2 linked regions of the Bombyx mori genome follow. The protein of the gene in region 1 purifies or fractionates together with the protein of each later gene. This does not show direct contact. Links are inferred from orthologs where the notes say so. Each region holds a gene or a part of one and is shown in the gene's direction. Other genes may lie near its edges.

Region 1 (4,355 bases):
TAAGCACAACTTTACTATAATTTGTAGATTTACTAGGTTGAACCACAAATTTTAAGTTTTAAAGGTACCGAGATATTTAGATGCCTTGCTGTTGTGTTGTAACAATAAAGTTTAATTTTGTATTCATTTATGTATAGATTCTCTGTCTACGCTCAAGCAAGATTTGAGAAAACTTGAATTAAAAACATTTCGCTGTCATATACAACAGAATATAATCTGTAGTAAGTTTTTTTTTTGGGATTTCAGACCTGGTATTTACAACCTTTAGGTCAAATCTGTAGTAAGGTTTTGGAGCTACAGACTAGTTAGAAATTATTTTGGATTTACATGTTCCATTAAGTAGTAGTTTTCTTTTTACCACTTACAGCAACGCTCATAAGGAGCATGTTACTATCACAGATTAATATGCAGTATTATAAGAGAGCTGCTTTTAAACTAGAAATTAACGAATTTCATTGGAATTATCACTATTTGTAAGACTAGTAACAGTTTCCTGGTTCAAATTTAGCTTAGGTCTATATTTTACGTCTATGGTTGCCTGGTAAGTTCGACTATTAATTTGCAAATTATACTGTACATCGTGAATTTTAATATCACCGTCCTTTTCTATACTTGCGTTAGGAAGAGATATTGTAGTAAAAATACGTCTTATCAGACATTCGACAGGAATGATGCGTCTTAGCTTAACGTTAAAAATCTTTTTCACACAGTAATACGGTTTTCTAAATGAGAGCATTAAATTACAAACAAAACAGGATTTTGATTTTGTCGAACTGTCTGTAAACTGTAACTGTAAAAACTGTCTCACACTTCAAACTAGAATGCATGATGGTTTCATGGAAGAAATACACTAATATAAGCCTCTTGTCGATCGCAAGACCTATATTGGTTTATTATTTCTGTGCATCGTTCATTGTTCAGTTTTCTTAGTTGTATTTTGTGACAACAACGGGAAGCGATAGGGTAGTTTTTTTTTCTACCTAAGCCGATAGCCTTGAGAGGCTATGTCAGTCAAACCTAACAAGTAGGTGAGCTCACGGGGCTCAAACCTGACGATTTTGCTAACACTAACCCTAGCAAGAGCAGTGCTTCGCAGAATCTACTACCGGATCGGAAACGCGACCCACTGTGAAGATCCGGCGAGAAACTCGGTGAACTGTGTCTGTGGGTTAATTTTCTCGCCGATGACCGGATAGGGTAGTGTTACTCCAATCTTGCGCTACCAAATTAATTTTCAAATACATAGTAGATTCAAATCTATTCAACATGTTAGAATGCGTAGTTAAGTTTTAGGAAATAAAATATTTTACAAAATATGTTTTATTACTCTGGTAACTCAAAATGTTTGGGAATAAAAAACGTAAAATGGCTTTGGAAATTTGTGCGCTAATCTGAAGCCTGCCAACGTACAAGTTTAAAGTTTGTTTTCACTGTAATAAAAATCATGTCATTTTCAGATCTTTACGCTAAATATAATTGTACATATTGTCAAGAGGAAATAAACGGCGTAAGAGTTAAATGTACTGAATGTGTTGATTTTGATATTTGTTTGCAGGTAAAGTAGTTGATACTGCCATTTTTGTTGATAGTTTTGGCGCAAAATTTAAAATTGTCACTTAGAAATTAATATGCAATAAAATGCATTTTCAGTGTTTTTCTCTTGGTGCTGAAATCGGACAGCACAAAAACGATCATTCATATCAGTTTGTGGTAAGCACTTTATAAACGACTACTGTAATACTATTACAGAAAGTAAATAGATTTTCAAGAGTGTTCTATTTTTCCAGGACTCTGGGGCTTTTGGAATATTTTTAGGACGTAGTAGCTGGTCAGCTAACGAAGAAGTAAGATTATTAGATGCCATAGAACAATTCGGCTTTGGTAACTGGGAGGATATAGCAAAACATATTGAAACAAGAACTCCTGAAGGTAATTTAATGATATAAGCTACTCAGTAATCTGCTGTCTTAGCACTGTGCTTCGGTTCATTTTTCAACATTGGCATCAAACAGCATACATTGCATGCCTTGGCAAAGAATACCTAGTATATGCATACTATTATTTGTAACTTTTTATCTAAATGCAATAACAATTTTCAAAAATAGCTTCTGCAACGAAAAAACATTGTTGAATAAAATATGGTGAATATTTCGAATTTCAATTTTTTTTAAAGCTTCAGCTTTTATATTTGGGTAGACGTGCTTACCGTCTACCTGTTGTTGTTAGGTGGTTACGGGATTCAAGAGATTTCAACTACGTAAATGTTACTAGCCACCTTTAGGCATGATTACTAAGTCTCAGTTTTATAATATCGAGGGGTGAAATGCTATTTGGTATAACGTACATTACCTTAGTAATTAAAGGTATACTTGGTATCAACAGTTCGATGTTTTTAGTTGAATTTCAATTTACGTTTACTCCATTCAAATAGCTGAAGACGTTTTTTGGTTATGATATTTTTTCCAATTTTTAAGCTTTGAATGGCCTTCCTGTAAAGTTGTCAAAAATGTCATTTAAACCGAATAGCCTTTTACTCCCTTGATATAGTAACTTTGCATATTTAATGGTGACAGCATGGTCACAACCATTCAATAATGTATATAAACTCACCACATGCAATGTTAAGACAGGATTTTTTCATGGGCTATGGAAGCTCAAAATATATATTAAACAAGAATAAGAAATATATATTAAACATTTACATTAAATAAATTTTGTTGGGATTAAATTTACATGATGCATATCCTTTATTTTCACAAGTAAAAAAGAATAATTTGGAAATAAATCATCCCATAAGTTCAAATCAACGATTTAACACCAGTACTAAAAATAATAAATAGGGTGAGAAGTAATTATTTAAATCTGTTGAGAATACTTCTAAAAATTGACACCGCAAAAGGACTGACCATGTCAATCTCAGATTCTTTAAGACCTCTGCACTCTTCTAAACTCCTTCCTAAACCTGTAACAGCGATGGAAGCATTGTAAACAAATATACTGAACTGCGACTATAGGTAGAGCAAAGGAGGTTCTGCTTCACATGGTGGCAGTGGTACAGTAGTGCTGAACTTTAGAAAGATTACCAAAGAATTATCATACTATATATAAATTTATTAATTAAATATAATAATAAAAATAAATAATAATCATAATCATCGTTCTTTCCTATTACCCTCTGCTGGGGTGTAGGGCTCGAATCAAATCCTTTCATTTACATCATTGTTATAAGAAAGACAAATAAATAATAATAACAAATAAACATAAATTTCAATTACAGAAGCAAAAGATGAATACATTACTAGGTACCTGGAAGGCACCATAGGCAAAGCAACATGGGGCAATATTGAAAGTACATCTCGCCCATCACTACATTGTGCAGATAAAGATGATGGCCCACTTGGTCCAACTGCAGTGTCTCGACTACCAAACCTAGCTATAACAGTAGACGAAGCAGCACAACTTGGGTATATGCCAAATAGAGATGATTTTGAAAGAGTAAGAATGAATTTTTTGTACTATTTACTATAATAAATTAAAATATTGTTCTACAAAGTGTCGAAATTTCAGGAACATGATCATGAGGCAGAGCAGTTGATCTCAACATTATCATTAAATCCAGAAGATGATGAATTAGATGTTGGTAGGTTATATATAGATATATATTCAATAGATAAGTGGTTTTTGGTTGATAAAATATGTGGTTTTTAATATAATAATATCCTTTTAAAAAAATCATAATAATGACTGATAGACTGCCGACCTTGAGCTTGAAATTTACATATGAATTATTCACTCTGAGACGTCTCTTATTTGATACATATTATGAACAGGCTAGACTAAAAGCTTTATAAGATCTGTATATCTATTTTATGATTTTAAAACGTCTCATAGCTTAGTTAAATACATATAAGATATATATAATAAATAAAAAATGACATATCCCGTTTTTTTTATTTTTTATAGCACTAAAGCTATCACAAGTTGATATATACATCAGAAGACTGAGAGAGAGAACGAGACGAAAAAGATTAGTTAGAGATTTCCAGTTAGTGTCTGTCTTCTTCAACAATCAGAGGAATAAACAGAAGACCCTAGGAAAACTTGCCAAAGAAAAAAAGTATGTACCAATAATATTTTTGAAGTATTTCAAATGTGTAGTATATAGATATGTTATGATTTTCGTGTTTTGACACAATTTAGACAAATATTAAAAAAGACAAACAATATTTAATCTATTCTCAATTTGACCACAGACTATAAGCAAAAAGAAAAGTTTGACAATAAACAAATAATATGCATTCGTGTGTGTGTGTAATGTTTTTATTTTTATTGATTTAATGTATTTTGATGCATAA
Region 2 (3,500 bases), on another chromosome or scaffold:
GTAGATATGATTAGCAACGTGACGTGCAGGTGTACTACCCGGTGCGGCACGCGCTGGTGGGACACATGGTGGGCGCCATGCAGCGGCTCGGCTTCTCTGCGACCGCCTCGCTGGAGCACCGCCGGCTCGCCGTGGACTTGGCCGAGGTGGTGCTCAAGTGGGACCTGCAGCGCATCCGGGACCACGCACTGCCCGACGACAACATCGTACGTACACTACATCTTCCTGATATGTTCCTAATAACAGATCTCAACTTAACTGATCGTTACATATTTCACTGCCATAAGAACAATAAGAAACAGATCTCTGACAAGTAAAAGTTCTTCCAATTTTTATCGCTAACAGTAAATTGTAAAAAATGTTATTATATAACTTTTTTTTTATTGCTTAGATGGGTGGACGAGCTTACAGCCCACATGGTATTAAGTGGTTACTGGAGCCCATATACATCTACAACGTAAATGCGCCACCCACCTTGAGATATAAGTTCTAAGATCTCAGTATAGTTACAACGGCTGCCCCACCCTTCAAACCGAAACGCATTACTGCTTCATGGCAGAAATAGGCAGGGCTGTGCTACCTACCCGCACAGACTCACAAGAGCTCCTACCACCAGTAAGTAATATGTAATAAGTAAAATGCTATAATTGTTGTTCAGCCTCTAGTTCACTGTGACATGGTTTTGTTTGTGTTTTTACTTGTAAGGCACCACAAAGGCACCACCTGACATACAGAAAATAATGAATTAATAAAGTTTAAACATTGTGATCTACATGGCACGAATTTAACAAGGTTTCTGTAGTGTTTAATATTCTATCCAATAGATTGTTTAATGGATTGTTTGTGGACAGGTGGCGACATCTCCGGGCGGCGCCATGAAGCGCGTGTCGTCCGATGACGCGAGCTCGGAGGGTCGCAAGGCGTTGAACACGGGCTGGGCGAGCCCGCAGGCCAGCGCCTCCAGGCTCGAGCCCGACGCCGCCAAGCCGCTCGACAGACAACACGTAGATGTCGTTGTCAACCTGCTACTGCGACTGGCTTGCCAGGTGTGCCAAACGGTAACCCTCTAGTGTTTTTGAAACAAGCATCCTCCGTCTCTTAATTGAGCCGTTTTTATTTCTGCTCTTCTTTTTTCAGATGAACGAGGGTACCGTTTCCGGAAGCGGAGGTGCGACCGCAGGAGAGCAGCTATCGCGAAGATGCGTTCTTCTTCTTAAGACTGCTCTCAAACCCGACGTTTGGCCACACCTCTGCGAGCCTAAGCTTGCCTGGCTTGATAAAGTATGAACATGTAATTACAGAATACTACAAGAATATTCAAATGACGCCTTTGTTAATTTACAAGTATAAATATTTGCTGCTTAGGTTTTCTCAAGTGCAGAGACAAACGCGGCATCATGCGCCAATGCCTGCACGGCGCTCGAGCTGCTGGTGTTCCTGCTGGGCGTGCTGCGTCGAGATCAGATCCTGGCGGCGCTGAAGCCGCTGCAGCGCGGGCTGGCCGCCTGCGTCGCGTCCACTAATGCCAAAATCGTGCGACTGACGCACAACTTGCTCGCCAAGCTTACCGCCATCTTCCCTACGGAGCCCACGGGGGCCGCGCAAGCTTCTAAGGCGAGTGTCGTCAATATTGAGGTGTGAGGTCAGATCGATACATGCATAATATTCGTGTAGTATTTTAAAAAATGTGAGAGTTTTTTACTCTGTTTCTGCAAATCTCTTATTATCGACGTGCATGGAAGGCGGTAATTTAATTTAGATTAGGTCGCTCCCTATTAACAAAACGTTATATCATTCACACATATTATTATTATTATGCGCTGTGTGATTTATTTATGCAAAAATCGCTATCAAATGGTCTAGTGACGGTCGAGTTTTAATATATTTTCCATTATAGTACGAGGAGCTCGAAACACTATACGCGTGCGTGAGCAAGTACGCGTTCGAGGGTCTGGCGGCGTACGAGAAGACGGCGGGCAGCGGCACGGGCGGCACGTCGGGCGCGGGCGCGCTGCTGGGGCCGCTCATGATGCTGAAGGCGTGCTGCTCCTCCAGCCCCGCCTACATCGACCGCCTGCTGCTCCCGCTCATGCGCGTCCTGCAGCGCATGGCTAGGGACCACGTCGCCACCAACCCCGATGCAGCCATATCCGATTTGTTGGTTCGTATAACTTTATTGCTTTATCTGGACCCTTTAAAAATATAATAGTAGGTGCGTAATCATTTTGCTTATGTCGGCTACGAAACTGTATATCTCGAAACTTATTGTGAAGGAGCTCAATGGTTCCAATTGAGATTTTAACTTCGTCTTAAGACGGGCGACGTTATTCACGTTGTAATATCTAAAAACGTCGATAGCCACTTGAGATCTGTTGGATTGTGTGCAATGTTTTTTTAACGCATTTTCATAATTTCTCTAATACTATATTTCGTCTTTTCAGATATTGGCCTTAGACTTGCTAAAGGCTCGCGTTTCCGTGATGCCGGGCGATACGAAAAAAACCTTCATAGGAACTGTTCTAGTTGGTCTTATCGAAAAGACTACAGATTCTAAGGTAAAATTACTTATCAATTATTCATTTTGTAGTTAACATACAATAAGATTTGCCGTGAATTAGCTTCAATAAATTTTATTTTTTAGGTAATGAAAGCGATCATTCGTATGGTTGAGGAGTGGGTGATGCACCGCGGCGCGACCACTAGCAGCGGGGCCGTACCTTCCCTGCGCGAAAAGTCAATACTGCTCGTGAAACTAATGCAATATGTCGAGAAACGTTTCCCTGACGACCTCGAGCTCAATGCTCAATTTTTAGAACTGATCAACTACGTGTATCGGTAAGTTGATTTACGAATATTATACATACAAAAAATGCTATTTATTTTATGCCGGAACCACACTGCGTTATTCGCTATTCGTTTGCCGGTATTCATATTTGCCTTATTTGGCATAATTCAGCGTACAAATTCGAAGTGTGGATGGCATGTTTGTTGTTTGCGCGCATAACAATTATTTTGGCGAATACGGCGTAGTCACATAACGAATAGCGCATAACGCAGTGTGGTTCCGGCATTATGAAAGTAACAACCTACCTTGGATTAACAGATCCTAATATTTGTATACGATCACGCAGGGATGAACAGCTGAAGGTGACGGAACTATCCATGAAGTTGGAGCCCGCTTTCCTGGCGGGTCTCCGTTGCCCGCAGCCACAGATCCGCGCCAAGTTCTTTGAGGTGTACGACCAGAGCGTGCGGCGGCGCGTGTTCGACCGCCTGCTGTACGTCGTGTGCTCGCAGAACTGGGAGCACATAGGACAACACTTCTGGATTAAACAGTGCCTCGAACTGCTATTGGTCACCTGTGCGCCCAGTAAGTTATTTTGGAGCTTTTTTTTTTGTTTATTGCATAGATGGGTGAACGAGCTTTACAGCCTACCTGGTGTTAATTGGTTACTGGAGCCCATATACATCTACAACATAAATGCTGCCACCTACCTTGA

What was found. Proteins that work in one complex are often made in the same cells at the same time.
Region 2: the proteins of transcriptional adapter 2B (region 1) and transcription-associated protein 1 purify together in Drosophila melanogaster (affinity purification with western blotting; 4 studies listed by BioGRID, with this or other methods). This does not show direct contact. The link is inferred for Bombyx mori from reciprocal best matches to the Drosophila melanogaster genes Ada2b and Nipped-A.

Annotation. Positions count from the first base shown.
Region 1 is NC_085131.1:6,658,564-6,662,918, reverse strand, and holds the start of transcriptional adapter 2B, read left to right. Parts: upstream 1-1,338; 5' UTR 1,339-1,444; coding exon 1,445-1,555; intron 1,556-1,650; coding exon 1,651-1,710; intron 1,711-1,787; coding exon 1,788-1,929; intron 1,930-2,666; exon of another isoform or gene 2,667-3,277; coding exon 3,278-3,495; exon of another isoform or gene 3,496-3,567; coding exon 3,568-3,640; exon of another isoform or gene 3,641-3,963; coding exon 3,964-4,117; exon of another isoform or gene 4,118-4,355. UniProt on the Drosophila melanogaster protein: Component of several Gcn5-containing histone acetyltransferase complexes that regulate nucleosome organization; involved in acetylation of histone H3, particularly on Lys-10 (H3K9ac) and Lys-15 (H3K14ac).
Region 2 is NC_085110.1:5,827,481-5,830,980, forward strand, and holds part of transcription-associated protein 1, read left to right. Parts: intron 1-29; coding exon 30-206; intron 207-851; coding exon 852-1,058; intron 1,059-1,137; coding exon 1,138-1,281; intron 1,282-1,365; coding exon 1,366-1,614; intron 1,615-1,897; coding exon 1,898-2,161; intron 2,162-2,441; coding exon 2,442-2,555; intron 2,556-2,641; coding exon 2,642-2,835; intron 2,836-3,131; coding exon 3,132-3,370; intron 3,371-3,500. UniProt on the Drosophila melanogaster protein: Part of the Tip60 chromatin-remodeling complex which is involved in DNA repair. Upon induction of DNA double-strand breaks, this complex acetylates phosphorylated H2AV in nucleosomes and exchanges it with unmodified H2AV.